Linked DNA regions of Saccharomyces cerevisiae S288C. The protein of the gene in region 1 interacts with the protein of each later gene in a biochemical or structural test. Each region holds a gene or a part of one and is shown in the gene's direction. Other genes may lie near its edges.

What was found.
Region 2: the proteins of TAH11 (region 1) and CDC6 form a complex in vitro, tested with the Saccharomyces cerevisiae proteins (2 studies listed by BioGRID).
Region 3: the proteins of TAH11 (region 1) and ORC3 form a complex in vitro, tested with the Saccharomyces cerevisiae proteins (one study listed by BioGRID).

The regions. Positions count from the first base shown.
Region 1 is NC_001142.9:520,386-525,681, forward strand, and holds TAH11 (Tah11p), read left to right. Parts: upstream 1-1,662; coding exon 1,663-3,477; downstream 3,478-5,296. Other genes in the region: Hsp70 family ATPase SSC1, read right to left, coding at 1-1,217; ANB1 (translation elongation factor eIF-5A), read right to left, coding at 4,523-4,996. UniProt on the Saccharomyces cerevisiae protein: DNA replication licensing factor, required for pre-replication complex assembly. Faithful duplication of the genetic material requires 'once per cell cycle' DNA replication initiation and elongation.
Region 2 is NC_001142.9:66,854-72,149, forward strand, and holds CDC6 (AAA family ATPase CDC6), read left to right. Parts: upstream 1-2,484; coding exon 2,485-4,026; downstream 4,027-5,296. Other genes in the region: putative ubiquitin-specific protease UBP12, read left to right, coding at 1-716; fatty acid elongase ELO1, read right to left, coding at 997-1,929; YJL193W (uncharacterized protein), read left to right, coding at 4,513-5,296. UniProt on the Saccharomyces cerevisiae protein: Plays a crucial role in forming the pre-replicative complexes.
Region 3 is NC_001144.5:138,911-144,206, forward strand, and holds ORC3 (origin recognition complex subunit 3), read left to right. Parts: upstream 1-2,162; coding exon 2,163-4,013; downstream 4,014-5,296. Other genes in the region: SPO75 (Spo75p), read right to left, coding at 1-1,636; SFI1 (Sfi1p), read left to right, coding at 4,291-5,296. UniProt on the Saccharomyces cerevisiae protein: Component of the origin recognition complex (ORC) that binds origins of replication. It has a role in both chromosomal replication and mating type transcriptional silencing. Binds to the ARS consensus sequence (ACS) of origins of replication.

The DNA.
Region 1 (5,296 bases):
GACAAGACAGCACCTTGCACAGCAGCACCAATGGCAACAGCTTCATCTGGGTTGACGGCCTTAGATGGGTCCTTACCAAACAAAGATTTAACGGTTTCGACAACCTTAGGCATTCTGGACATACCACCGACCAATAAGACTTCAGATATGTCTGAAGTAGACAAACCGGCGTCTTTCAAAGCCTTCTTGACTGGGTCGACAGTTCTCTTAACTAGTGGGGCTGTCAAAGTCTCGAATTGAGCCCTGGAGAACTTCATGTTGATATGCTTTGGACCTGAGGCATCAGCAGTGATAAATGGCAGGTTGATTTCAGTGGAAACGGTAGAAGATAGCTCAATCTTAGCCTTTTCAGCAGCTTCTCTAATTCTTTGGATAGCCATACGGTCATTTTCCAAATCAATACCAGTTTCGGTCTTGAAACGAGAAACAATCTCTCTCAACAAATAGATGTCGAAATCTTCACCACCCAAATGAGTGTCACCGTTAGTGGACTTAACTTCAAAAACACCGTTGTCAATATCTAAGATGGAGATATCGAAAGTACCACCACCCAAATCGAAAACGGCAACAACTTTAGAGTCGGATTTTTCCAAACCGTAAGCTAAGGCAGCGGCGGTTGGTTCATTGACGACACGTAAAACGTTCAAACCAACAATTTGGCCTGCGTCTTTAGTAGCTTGTCTTTGAGAGTCGTTGAAATAAGCTGGGACAGTGACAACAGCATTCTTAACTGGCTTACCCAAGTAGGCCTCAGCTGTTTCCTTCATCTTGTTCAAGACGAACCCACCGATTTGGGCTGGTGAGTAAGTTTGACCTCTGGCCTCAACCCAAGCATCCCCGTTGGAGTGCTTGACGATCTTGTATGGAACTTGCTTGATATCTCTTTGCACTTCAGCGTCTTCGAAACGACGACCAATCAAACGCTTGGTAGCAAATAGGGTGTTTTCTGGGTTCACTACGGCTTGACGCTTGGCTGGAATACCAACCAAACGTTCTCCCTCTTTAGTGAAAGCTACTACAGAAGGAGTAGTTCTGGAACCTTCGGCGTTTTCAATAATTTTTGGAACTTTACCTTCCATAATGGCAACCGCAGAGTTGGTGGTACCCAAATCGATACCGATGACGGAACCTTGAACCTTGGTTGACTGCAAACGTGTGGCAATACGGAAAGAGCTAGACAAGCTTGACCTGTTTAGTATGTTTTTAGCAGCAAGCATCTTGGTGCGTATAATATGAGATTTGTGTAGTCTTAATTATATTAAATGGGTCGTAAATACAAAAGTTGTCACTCTGGCAAAGGTTGGTGAGCAGCGGGGCGTCGATATGTACAGCAGGCAGAGGAGGACAGCAACGTATGGAGTTTTCAAACGTGGAACAAAGAACCCAAAAGTTCCCAAGCGTCGAGCCGGCGTTGGATCGTTCGTTTTTATACACCGCACCGTAAGCGGTCACCGGAAAAAGAGGCAGGGGGCGGTGGAACCGGGCCGAAGCCCATGGAAAAGCTCTGCCGTTGTGGGTGATATACAATTATTCAGCGCATCTAAGGCACTAGCTTTAGCACATTGTACCATTGCGATGATGCGGAAGAGTTTAATATAAGCAGATGTTAGTTGCGGTAGTTGGTATCATGACAGTGAGCTGAACTACGTAGCGTCGTGATTTATGAGTGGCACAGCTAATAGTAGGAGGAAGGAGGTTTTGCGCGTGCCTGTGATAGATTTGAATAGAGTTTCAGATGAAGAGCAGCTGTTGCCGGTGGTGAGGGCAATTTTGCTACAGCATGACACCTTTCTGTTAAAAAATTATGCTAACAAGGCTGTTCTAGATGCACTACTAGCGGGGCTCACGACAAAGGACCTGCCTGACACGAGTCAAGGTTTTGATGCGAACTTTACGGGTACATTACCGCTAGAAGATGATGTTTGGCTGGAGCAGTACATATTTGACACTGATCCTCAATTACGCTTCGATCGGAAGTGCAGGAATGAGTCACTGTGCTCCATATATAGTAGGCTGTTCAAACTGGGTCTGTTTTTCGCCCAACTGTGTGTGAAAAGTGTGGTTTCTAGCGCAGAATTGCAAGACTGTATCAGCACCTCTCATTATGCGACTAAGCTGACCCGTTATTTCAATGATAATGGTAGTACACACGATGGTGCAGATGCAGGTGCTACCGTGCTGCCCACTGGCGACGATTTCCAGTACCTGTTTGAAAGGGACTATGTTACTTTTCTTCCGACGGGCGTGTTGACCATCTTCCCCTGTGCCAAGGCTATAAGGTACAAGCCATCGACTATGGCGACGACGGACAATTCTTGGGTGAGTATTGATGAACCCGATTGTCTTCTGTTCCACACGGGGACCCTCCTTGCGCGCTGGTCTCAAGGTATGCACACTACCTCACCACTCCAGATAGATCCTCGTGCGAACATTGTTTCGTTGACCATCTGGCCTCCACTTACTACGCCAATCTCGAGTAAAGGAGAGGGTACGATTGCCAATCATTTGTTGGAGCAACAAATTAAGGCTTTCCCAAAAGTCGCTCAGCAATACTACCCACGGGAGCTTAGTATTCTAAGACTCCAAGACGCAATGAAGTTTGTTAAGGAGTTGTTTACTGTTTGCGAGACTGTATTGTCTTTAAACGCTCTTTCCAGATCCACGGGCGTCCCACCAGAGCTGCACGTTTTGTTACCCCAGATATCCAGCATGATGAAAAGGAAAATAGTGCAGGATGATATTTTGAAGTTATTGACCATTTGGTCTGATGCATACGTAGTGGAACTGAACTCTAGAGGGGAGCTGACCATGAATCTACCCAAAAGAGACAATCTAACAACGTTGACCAATAAGTCTAGGACTTTGGCATTCGTGGAAAGGGCAGAGTCGTGGTACCAACAAGTGATAGCTTCCAAGGATGAGATTATGACTGATGTACCCGCTTTCAAAATAAATAAAAGAAGGTCCAGCTCTAATTCTAAAACAGTCTTGAGCAGTAAAGTGCAAACGAAGAGCTCTAATGCTAATGCCTTGAATAACTCAAGATATTTGGCGAATAGTAAGGAAAATTTCATGTACAAAGAGAAGATGCCTGATTCGCAAGCAAACCTTATGGACAGACTGCGTGAAAGAGAGAGACGTTCGGCCGCATTGCTTTCTCAAAGGCAAAAACGTTACCAGCAGTTTCTAGCGATGAAAATGACTCAGGTATTTGATATTCTTTTTTCGCTGACCAGGGGCCAGCCTTATACAGAGACATATCTAAGCTCGCTAATCGTAGATAGTTTACAAGATAGTAATAATCCTATCGGTACAAAAGAAGCAAGTGAAATTTTAGCTGGGCTACAAGGTATCCTACCAATGGACATATCTGTTCATCAAGTGGATGGTGGGTTAAAAGTTTATAGATGGAACAGTTTGGATAAAAACAGATTTTCTAAGCTGTTGCAAATCCACAAATCAAAACAACAAGATTGAAGAATATTTTTAGATATAAGGTAGAATACGTACATTTACGGTAAAAAAAAAAAAAAAAGAAAAAAAATTGATCTTGATACATACGTTGGTATTTTACTTTGAAGACTGTGCATTGTGTATGTACGAAAAGAAAGGGAAATAAAAAATAACGACAACTGCAGGACTCGAACCTGCGCGGGCAAAGCCCAAAAGATTTCTAATCTTTCGCCTTAACCACTCGGCCAAGTTGCCTTTAATCTCTTGAGTTTGTTTAAGGACAACACTGTCCACCTGGCATGGGAATATTACCATTATTCCAGATTCGGGCTTGTTATTAGGACTTTTTACCAGCTTGATTTACCGGTCATTACTTATCCTACACATCATACATCACAACTACACTTGGTGAAGAAATCACAGAGCCTTGGATTTGTAACAATTATATGTTTACGCAATTTATCTTGGGAAAGCAGGGCCTCATTTGTGGACATAGCACGGTCTGTCACCCTCGTCGTGCAAAAAATATTTTGACTTCTACTCTTTTTGAAGTTTCGTTGATCGGGTCCCTTCCAAGGAAAAGTCGAATGCTGTCACTGCGCATATAAAGGCGAGAACGATAGTGACTGTGATATTAAGTTATTGTCATCATATAAGTAATTTTTTCTCTGATATCTGTAGCCCTAGTTTTTAATATTTTCGTAAAATGCTCAAAAAAATTTCTGTTTAAATTCTTCTGGGGTATATACACATGTTCCCGTCAGCTAAATTAAAAAGAAGAAGGAACCGAAAGAAGGCAAATTATAAAGTAATCATCCTCGGCATATTGAGGGGAAAATATCCGTCAAAAAAAAAAGTTCTGCACGTCGTCATAAGTGACTATGGTATCAAACACCAATTAACACGAACGTAGCGATAATGAAGGCAACTTCGTAGCTGAAACAGAACGAAGTTAGTTAGGATGAATAATTATGATTATGATTATTATAATATTATATAAAATGTATAAATAAGATTTCTAGATCAAAAAAACATCGCGTATTTTGTAAGCTATAGAAATCTAAAATATCTAATCAGATCTTGGAGCTTCCTTGAAGGAGATGGCAGCTTCTTCACCCATGGCAGAAATGATAGTGACCATCAAATCCTTACCTTCATCGAAAGCAGCTTGCATGCTGTCACCCAATTCACCTTCTGGTGCCTTGACATCGTCTTTGGTTTCACCGTCCATGGTCATCAAGGACAAGTAGCCATCATCAATATCCAACAATTGGTATTCGCTTCTCTTGACAAATGGAACTTCCAAGTTGTGAGTGGATGGAGACAAATCTTCCAACTTCTTACCAGTGAAGATATCAAGGGTAACCAAATGGACCTTGGCGTGACCGTGCTTACCGGTCTTGGAAGTGGACATGTCGACAATCTTACATGGTCTACCTTTGATGACAACGAAACCATTCTTTCTCAAGGCAGAACATTGCATTGGGTAGGTGGCGGAGGCACCAGCGTCAGCATTTTCAAAGGTGTGTTCTTCGTCAGACATGTTTTAGTGTGTGAATGAAATAGGTGTATGTTTTCTTTTTGCTAGACAATAATTAGGAACAAGGTAAGGGAACTAAAGTGTAGAATAAGATTAAAAAAGAAGAACAAGTTGAAAAGGCAAGTTGAAATTTCAAGAAAAAAGTCAATTGAAGTACAGTAAATTGACCTGAATATATCTGAGTTCCGACAACAATGAGTTTACCAAAGAGAACAATGGAATAGGAAACTTTGAACGAAGAAAGGAAAGCAGGAAAGGAAAAAATTTTTAGGCTCGAGAACAATAGGGCGAAAAAACAGGCAA
Region 2 (5,296 bases), 450 kb from region 1:
AAAGGTCTTTTAGCGATAAAATTGATGCCACGGTTAATTTCCCCATTACAGATTTGGATCTGTCGAGGTACGTTGTCTATAAAGATGATCCCAGAGGTTTAATCTATGACCTGTATGCAGTAGATAACCACTATGGTGGTTTGGGTGGTGGGCACTATACCGCGTACGTAAAGAATTTTGCCGACAATAAATGGTACTATTTTGATGATTCTCGAGTAACTGAAACTGCGCCAGAAAATAGTATAGCTGGATCGGCTTATTTGCTATTTTACATTCGCCGTCATAAAGATGGCAATGGATTAGGCAGCTCTAAACTACAGGAAATAATCCAAAAGTCACGCCACGGATATGATGAGCGTATCAAAAAGATATACGATGAACAGATGAAGTTGTATGAATTTAATAAGACTGACGAGGAGGAAGATGTTTCTGATGATATGATAGAATGTAATGAAGATGTGCAGGCCCCTGAATATAGTAATCGTAGTTTGGAGGTTGGGCATATTGAAACTCAGGACTGCAACGACGAAGATGACAATGATGATGGTGAGAGGACAAATTCAGGTAGGAGAAAGTTAAGATTGTTGAAAAAAGTCTACAAGAATAATTCAGGCTTGGGTTCATCGAGTACGTCTGAAATATCTGAGGGATGCCCAGAAAACGAAGTCGCTGATTTGAATTTAAAAAATGGTGTGACACTAGAATCGCCAGAATAATGACATGAGTTTATATGATAGATAAAATTAATAAATTTCCACATGTATAATACTTTTCAATCTTTTTCGCCTACTATTTACTGCCTAGGCTAATAAATTATATGTTTTTGTCCTGGGCGCGACATTCCAAAAAAAAAATAAAAAAGAAGAGAAAATACTGGCTTATGAATACAAAAATTACATAAACGAAGCAAAATGATTATTTCGAATAAAACAGTCTATATATAAGTCAAATACAAGATAGGAAGAAAAACAGAAAAAAACAAAACAGAAGGACTGGTTAATTGTTTTTGTTGATCTTCTTCTTACCACTAGCACTTCCACGTTTGTAAACCTCAATATAGAAAGAGATGAACAAAAACAAGTAGGATGTAAGAATGGCTGCACCAGCAGCAATAGCCGTCATTGAACCTAAGCAATCCTCACACTGTGGAGTACAAGCATTTTTGAAATATGCAGCAACAATCTTCTGATAAAGCACGTAATAAACGACAATGAGATCAAGCATGAACTGCACAATTTGTAGTCTTGTAACCCAGGCTTTCCACCAAACACGAATTCCGCTAGCAGAAAGGAAATAATACCAATACATAAGAACGTGAACAGCTAAGTTTAAGGTGACAGGAACCCATGTAACTGCTGTGTAACCAACCAATTGATTATAGCACAGTAAAGCTGTAGCACCATGATGGTATGTATGTAGGAAAGTCAACTTTCTATGTTTCAACACCATCAAGACAGTGTCTGCGAACTCCACAAACTTTGTCATATAGTTGAGATAATATAATGTCTCCATCGGTTGCGTCCACGATTCAACATTACAAACAGCAAAATACAGCCCATGGCGATACACTATGGGTAGCATCTGTTCCACCATCAAAATCAACCATAAAAAGGAAACAGAAGTCAACATCAAGTTATGGACTTGAGAAATAAATCTCAACTTGAGAGGTTTACATGACTTTACCAGGGACCTCCCGCCAAATATAACCACATAATACATGGCAATAAAAAGCAGTACCGGACGAGGTTCACTCAAAGGCTGCTTCCCAACGGTAAACTCAAAATCCTTTGGCTGGAAGCGACCTGCAGTGGCCCACCCAACCGCACGATTGAAATAGTCCCACAAATAAATATTAAAAAAAGGCCTATCTATTGTTGGGCGAAACCTAGAGGCTTTCTCGAGGCAAAAATTTTTCCAATCACTTACCATACTTGCTTGCAAATTTAGCTCTCAAGTTCCTTAAAATTGATAAGGTATCCTACCTTAATATTCATATCAGTTAGTCTTATATACTTCTACCTCTTTTTCTGGCTTCCTTTCTTTCCCTTATGTCCTTCGGTTTACTAATCCGTAAAGCCGACGCGGGTAAGCCAAGACCCTGAGTTTAGAACTAATATTTCGTCACGTCACGTAAGTGCAAGGTAATAAAAGCAGCAGAAATATCTGTAGTTTCAACAAAATATGTCTGGCTTGCGATTTGTTGTGTTTTGAAACTAGTTGCTAGTCTGCATTCCTTTGTTTTCCCTGAATTACCCAAAGAAGAAAGCGACGCGAGGCCTCACGCGTCGGAGTTTCCAGATCAGGAAATTACCCACTTAGGAAATTGAGTTGGCTGGCAGAAAAGATATAACGCCATCTTGAAAAATAGTATTAGTTAGTCTATTTTTTCATTTATATAGTAGAGGTATATTCTCTGGAAGAACAATTTTGGAATATTCAGAACACTGCGCTGCACTATTTTCATCAATAGTACCATATACGTTCATGTCAGCTATACCAATAACTCCAACTAAGCGTATCAGAAGAAATCTATTTGACGATGCTCCAGCAACGCCTCCACGACCTTTGAAAAGAAAAAAGTTGCAGTTCACAGATGTTACACCAGAATCATCCCCAGAAAAACTGCAGTTTGGCTCACAGTCTATTTTTTTGAGGACAAAGGCACTTTTGCAGAAGTCATCTGAGCTAGTCAACTTGAATAGCAGCGATGGTGCATTGCCAGCAAGAACAGCAGAGTACGAACAAGTTATGAATTTTTTGGCGAAGGCAATTTCTGAACACAGGTCCGATTCACTGTACATCACGGGTCCGCCTGGCACTGGCAAGACTGCCCAGCTTGATATGATTATAAGACAGAAGTTCCAGTCCCTCCCATTGTCGCTCTCCACGCCACGCTCGAAGGACGTGCTGAGACATACGAATCCGAACTTGCAGAATTTGTCCTGGTTTGAATTGCCCGATGGAAGGCTAGAATCCGTGGCGGTAACCAGTATTAATTGTATATCGTTGGGAGAGCCGTCCTCCATTTTCCAGAAGATTTTCGATTCCTTCCAAGATCTGAATGGCCCAACATTGCAAATAAAAAACATGCAGCATCTACAGAAGTTCTTAGAGCCTTATCATAAGAAAACTACGTTTGTGGTTGTGTTGGACGAGATGGACAGGCTATTGCATGCTAACACGAGCGAGACACAATCAGTTAGAACTATTCTTGAATTATTCCTTTTGGCGAAATTGCCTACTGTGAGTTTTGTGTTAATCGGTATGGCTAATAGTCTAGATATGAAAGATAGGTTTCTTTCCAGGTTAAATTTGGACAGAGGGTTGTTACCGCAAACTATAGTTTTTCAGCCATACACTGCTGAGCAAATGTATGAAATCGTCATTCAAAAAATGAGTAGTCTGCCCACTATTATCTTCCAACCGATGGCCATCAAATTCGCAGCAAAGAAGTGTGCTGGAAATACGGGTGACCTTCGAAAACTTTTTGATGTCTTAAGGGGAAGTATCGAAATCTATGAGTTAGAAAAGCGGTTTCTGCTTTCACCAACAAGAGGATCATTGAACTCTGCGCAAGTTCCTTTGACGCCAACTACTTCTCCGGTAAAGAAATCGTATCCAGAACCACAAGGTAAAATAGGCTTGAACTACATAGCCAAGGTCTTCTCAAAATTCGTGAACAATAATTCTACGAGAACGAGGATAGCCAAACTAAACATCCAGCAAAAATTAATTCTTTGCACCATAATTCAATCACTGAAGCTAAATTCCGATGCTACAATCGACGAATCGTTTGATCATTATATCAAAGCGATAACAAAAACTGATACTTTAGCACCATTGCAGAGAAATGAATTTTTGGAAATCTGTACAATTTTAGAAACTTGTGGGCTGGTTTCAATCAAAAAGACAAAGTGTAAAGGGAAAACCAAGAGATTTGTTGATAAGATTGATGTTGATCTCGACATGCGAGAATTTTATGATGAGATGACCAAAATTTCAATTTTGAAACCTTTCCTTCACTAGTCAGCTAATAGATTTATTTTTTCTTTTTTTTTTACAGTTCCACTTGCATCCCTCATTTTTCACATTCCTTTTTTTATAGAAAAGCATATCACTATATAAAAATTCTATTATAGTTGTAACAGCATAGCATATTATAGACTTTTTTTTTCTGGAAACGGTTAAACCGTTTGGCTGAGATGCAATGATATACGCAACATTGCATTCAAAGAAATTGCAAAAAAGACACAATAAAACGTAATTTGTACAAATATTTTACTATCATTAGCTACTGGATGCAGAATGGATGATTGTTAGGGGGAGGTGGGGTACAATTGTTTGTTTTTGATACATTTTCTCTTTCAAATCGCAACCAATTCACTCTGCTAATGTGATAACAATGGCGCCTGTCGGAAAGGTGAAAAAAAAAAAATGCAAACAAATAAATTGGCACGGTGTGACATATGCCTTCTATAATAATGAAGGAACTCGAAGAAAAAGGGGAAAACGATGTTTCAACAGCTGTCGGCATCCATTAGGCACAATGCACACATAATTTTTTTATGCATAAGTTGGTATTTTATTTCATCGTTGGCATCTCAGGTAACGAAGCAGGTACTAACGGTTTGCCCATTACCACTTTTTTTGGGTGAGTTTCAGTTCATTTATACTGCTGTGCTAGCATGGTTTACGTGTTATATTGCATATAGTTTCCCAGGATTCTATCGCATATTTCCTAATGGTACTTTTCCGGAATATTATATCGACGACAGAGAAACTAGCCGTGCAGCTAGGAAAGAATCAAAACTATCCTCCCTCATTATACCGCCCTCTAAACCAATCCTGCAAACAGTTCTACCTTTAGGTCTTTTCCAATTTGTAGGGAAATATTTTGGGCATACAGCTACCTCTTTGGTGCCTGTTTCCACGGTTGCAAGTATAAAAACGCTATCCCCCATGTTTATCCTTTTGCTCCAAAAGATTTTGAAAATATCCACTTTGAAAATTACTTTAACTCTTATCTTTAGTTTATGCACTTTAGTTCTTGGAGTTTGGATTATAGTTCAAGAAGATAATCGTTCACCGGCCTCTTCCAATGAGCTGAGAGAATTCTCTAAATACGGCGTAATATGCGCTATGATATCAATGTTCATTTTTGTCTTGCAAAATATATATGGCAAGACCGTGTTCACGTACAGATCTCAAACAGATGAATCTCAAAGTAATTCTGGATTCTCACGGCAAGAATCACCTTTACCCTTATATGAAAAGTTGGATGAGAAACTTGTTGCGA
Region 3 (5,296 bases), on another chromosome or scaffold:
GGAAAAAGTAGGGTACGATTTCTATTATTATTATTAAGGTTACTATTGGAATCAAATTCTTTGCCACTTCTCTTATAAATGGAGATTGGAAATGAATTATTTTTGTAAACGGTATTAGTGAGGAAATATTTGGTATTTGTGATATTAACCCAAGGAACGCGACAGGCAAAATCCAGCCTATAATCACAAAAATTCGCAATATATTTGCCGAGAAATATTTGGCACTTTTCCAAAGGGGTGATGAATCGAGGATATTTCTCCAAATAATGTCATTAACATTGGGGCCTATTATTACTTTTAAATTTTGGGTGGGTAGTCTATACGAAAGCAACTCACCTATAACGTTTGACAATAATGTGGACTTGAAGGTAATGAACATCTTATCCATATAAATGTCTGTGCCCGACGATAAATCGTCGGGCAGTGCCTGCTTGGTTTCTGAAGTTGCTTTCAAGGAATTTACTTGGAATTTAATGAGTTTTTCCTTGCGTATTATTTTATCAAGGATTCTGTATTTCCTTTCTAATATTGTTTCTGTATTTACATACAGTTTAGGGTAATATAACGGAAAGATGCTTGACTTTTTCCAGCGCAGACGAATTTTTGTGCAATAGTATGAAATTCTAAATTGAGTTAAAAATACCAATTTTTTGTACTGAAATAATAGATGGTTTTTCAACTTTGAAAAGAAAAATCTTTTGTGATTTGCTATCAAATGCCTGTGTATTGAAACTCTTCTAAAATATTTCTCTAAAATAATCTCAAAGATAATTTGTTCTTTTGATTTTTGTAATTTATTTAACTTTATTTCTAATTTGTGGACTTTCTTCAAATTTTTTGGAATGAAATGCGTCACGCCAAAGCAATCACTGTGTAGCGGCTGAAAAAAAGTTTCTAAAGAAATACTTTGGGTAACCAATTTACTTGAGAATCCTTCCAAATATAGAATGTTTTGGTATTTACTTTTCGTCAAAACGGAATATCCTAGTCGATTAACGAACCTCAGTTCCGAAGAAAGAATGAAGTGAAACCAGAGTACAACAAAGATACTCAAAAACAAGTGACAGATTAAAGTATTCGATGAATTAGGTGATAGATTTGACATGGTCCACTTGTCAAGTTTACTTGTCGTCCTGAAACTTTGCTCATAACGTTCACCTTCATTTTCTTTCAAAATATCCCTGGAAAAATAATGGATTGGAATTAGTATTGGAATGTTGATAATTGATAACACTGCAAAAAAGAATATCAAAAGTTTGAGAAACCGTAAAAATAGATAATTGTCTAGGCCATACCTTTCGTTTCGTTCGAATTTTTCCATAGGATCTAACATTCTTCCGGGAAGTTGCTTGAGAAATGCAAATAATGACCAATAATTTTTTATTTTTTTCTTAGCAAAACAAACTTTAGAACCTGGATGGATTTTCAGAACGACATTGGCCTGATATATAGTCTTGAATCTTGATCTTAAAATAATAAAGAGTGACAGCTGAAATAAAAAGTACAAAAAAGAAAACAATATACCAGATATGAACCCTTTTAGTGAGATTCCAGCATGTCTTTGCGCAGATCCAAATCTTTCTTTGTCTTGAAATTTATTCAGTAAATTAAAAGTCAGTTCTTTAGTAGCATTCATCTTCTTGGTAAGTCTTTTTCTTGTTTTTGAAAAAGAGTTCCTGAAGTTTGTCTACTGTGAATATACTTTGCACATTTGTTTAATTTTTAAACACGCTATAATTTGTGTCATAAAGAATTTTTTGTAGAATAGCTTTTTTTTTAATAGGAAAAAAAAATAAAAAAAGGTGGAAAAGACAATCTTTTCCAGAAACTTGAAACTATACTGGAGATGAAGGGTTGTCGTTGGTTGCGTTACGAGACAGGCTTGACAATTTCACAAGAGTAATGTTTCATTACCTGCTGTTTTATTATCTTTATATTTAGTAAGACCAGCAGAAACGCTACACGTGATGATAATGGAACTAAGCATTCTGTTAGATGGTAAGAATTTTTTTTACCTTCCATTACCACTAACGCCTTTTTTAGTGTCTTTTTGATATTTACTGACGTATTTTTCCGCACCGTAATTTGAAGAAAAAGAAAAGTGACAAAAGATGGCATTGTTTACATACAGAGTCGTAGTATCACAAGAGTAGTCCAACAGGATGAGCGACCTTAACCAATCCAAAAAGATGAACGTCAGCGAGTTTGCTGACGCCCAAAGGAGCCACTATACAGTATACCCCAGTTTGCCTCAAAGTAACAAAAATGATAAACACATTCCCTTTGTCAAACTTCTATCAGGCAAAGAATCGGAAGTGAACGTGGAAAAAAGATGGGAATTGTATCATCAGTTACATTCCCACTTTCATGATCAAGTAGATCATATTATCGATAATATTGAAGCAGACTTGAAAGCAGAGATTTCAGACCTTTTATATAGTGAAACTACTCAGAAAAGGCGATGCTTTAACACTATTTTCCTATTAGGTTCAGATAGTACGACAAAAATTGAACTTAAAGACGAATCTTCTCGCTACAACGTTTTGATTGAATTGACTCCGAAAGAATCTCCGAATGTAAGAATGATGCTTCGTAGGTCTATGTACAAACTTTACAGCGCAGCTGATGCAGAAGAACATCCAACTATCAAGTATGAAGACATTAACGATGAAGATGGCGATTTTACCGAGCAAAACAATGATGTATCATACGATCTGTCACTTGTGGAAAACTTCAAAAGGCTTTTTGGAAAAGACTTAGCAATGGTATTTAATTTTAAAGATGTAGATTCTATTAACTTCAACACATTGGATAACTTCATAATTCTATTGAAAAGTGCCTTCAAGTATGACCATGTTAAAATAAGTTTAATCTTTAATATTAATACAAACTTGTCAAATATTGAGAAAAATTTGAGACAATCAACCATACGACTTCTGAAGAGAAATTATCATAAACTAGACGTGTCGAGTAATAAAGGATTTAAGTACGGAAACCAAATCTTTCAAAGCTTTTTGGATACGGTTGATGGCAAACTAAATCTTTCAGATCGTTTTGTGGAATTCATTCTCAGCAAGATGGCAAATAATACTAATCACAACTTACAATTATTGACGAAGATGCTGGATTATTCGTTGATGTCGTACTTTTTCCAGAATGCCTTTTCAGTATTCATTGACCCTGTAAATGTTGATTTTTTGAACGACGACTACTTAAAAATACTGAGCAGATGTCCTACATTCATGTTCTTTGTCGAAGGTCTTATAAAGCAGCATGCTCCTGCTGACGAAATTCTTTCATTATTGACAAACAAAAACAGAGGCCTAGAAGAGTTTTTTGTTGAGTTTTTGGTAAGAGAGAACCCGATTAACGGGCATGCTAAGTTTGTTGCTCGATTCCTCGAAGAAGAATTGAATATAACCAATTTTAATCTGATAGAATTATATCATAATTTGCTTATTGGCAAACTAGACTCCTATCTAGATCGTTGGTCAGCATGTAAAGAGTATAAGGATCGGCTTCATTTTGAACCCATTGATACAATTTTTCAAGAGCTATTTACTTTGGACAACAGAAGTGGATTACTTACCCAGTCGATTTTCCCTTCTTACAAGTCAAATATCGAAGATAACTTACTAAGTTGGGAGCAGGTGCTGCCTTCGCTTGATAAAGAAAATTATGATACTCTTTCTGGAGATTTGGATAAAATAATGGCTCCGGTACTGGGTCAGCTATTCAAGCTTTATCGTGAGGCGAATATGACTATCAACATTTACGATTTCTACATTGCGTTCAGAGAAACATTACCAAAAGAGGAAATATTAAATTTCATAAGAAAAGATCCCTCCAACACCAAACTCTTAGAACTAGCAGAAACACCGGACGCATTTGACAAAGTAGCACTAATTTTATTCATGCAAGCAATCTTCGCCTTTGAAAACATGGGTCTCATTAAGTTTCAAAGCACCAAGAGTTACGATCTGGTAGAAAAATGTGTCTGGAGAGGAATTTAGATAAAGAATGCACGGATAAATAAGTAAATAAATAACCATACATATATAGAACCATAGAACCACGTTTTTGTAATGAACAGTCTACCTGTATCTCATCATTTTTCTGTGTTAACTATTATTATTATTATTATCGAATGGAGGGTAATATTATGTATAGGTAAAATAAATAGATAGTGCCATGATGCGCGAAGATTGGCAATGGGAAACTCAAGAAGGCAGCAACAAAAAAATAAAGGTGGCCTATTAATCACAATCTATTGCCTATATGTGCTAGGTTATGGGCAAATTCGGCACGACAAATAAATCAACGGAGAATCTTCTGCGTGATAAATTCGTACCCGAGACATCTCCAACTAATATTCCCACTGATGTACTCATCAAGCAAGGGCAAATAACGGATTCCACCGAATCACTAATTCATGGAGGCGCAGAAAGGTATATTGTTAACGCTTTAAAGCCTATAGAATTAAATAAAACTGAAGGCTTTTTCGAAGACCCGCCGTTCCATCTTCCTTCTCCACCGGTTGATTCGACAAATCTGGAGTATGAAGACGTTACCGATCTTCCTAAGAATGGTTTACGATATGATTTGAATGATATATCCGTTGAGGTAATCGAAGATTTATACCGCCAGATTGAAGCTTTTTTGGTTCATTTCAAACTATCCAGAAGTTTTTTACAAATTTTCAAAAACTATGTCAATATTCTTATTCAAGAAGGCATCAATCCTTTACGCGATGAGTACTTCACAATATTGGAAGATGAACTGAAAGGTTTTTTCACTTTCAATTCTGTTATAGAAGAGATTTTAGAAATATTTTTAATCCACCCTCGCAACAAATTCATTGCATTGTCCCTTGCAGAATATACCTACGCTAAGAACAAAATCAGAAGACATTTTAATCACTGGAAGACTGTATGTGAATTGAATGAAGAGGCAAACAGGTTTGCAAATCAAGCAAAGCTGAGGGTACAGGAAGCCGTCTTCTATATTTGGAGTGATAAAACATTAAAATACTCACAGATGGCCAACGATGAAGCTGAAAGTTTTAGGAATACTTGGCTACTATTTCGCTCGTTCCAACAATGGATAACTTTAACACAAACTCTTAAGGAGCAGTCAAGGTTAGCAGATCAGGCCTTTTTGAATAAGATGTTTAGGAAAATTTTAAAGGCACAAGAGCATTGGAAACACTTAGAAACTGTTAACACTGACAACATTAAGAAGATATTTTTACGAACAACATTTCATATATGGAAGCTAAGACATAAAGAAATAAACT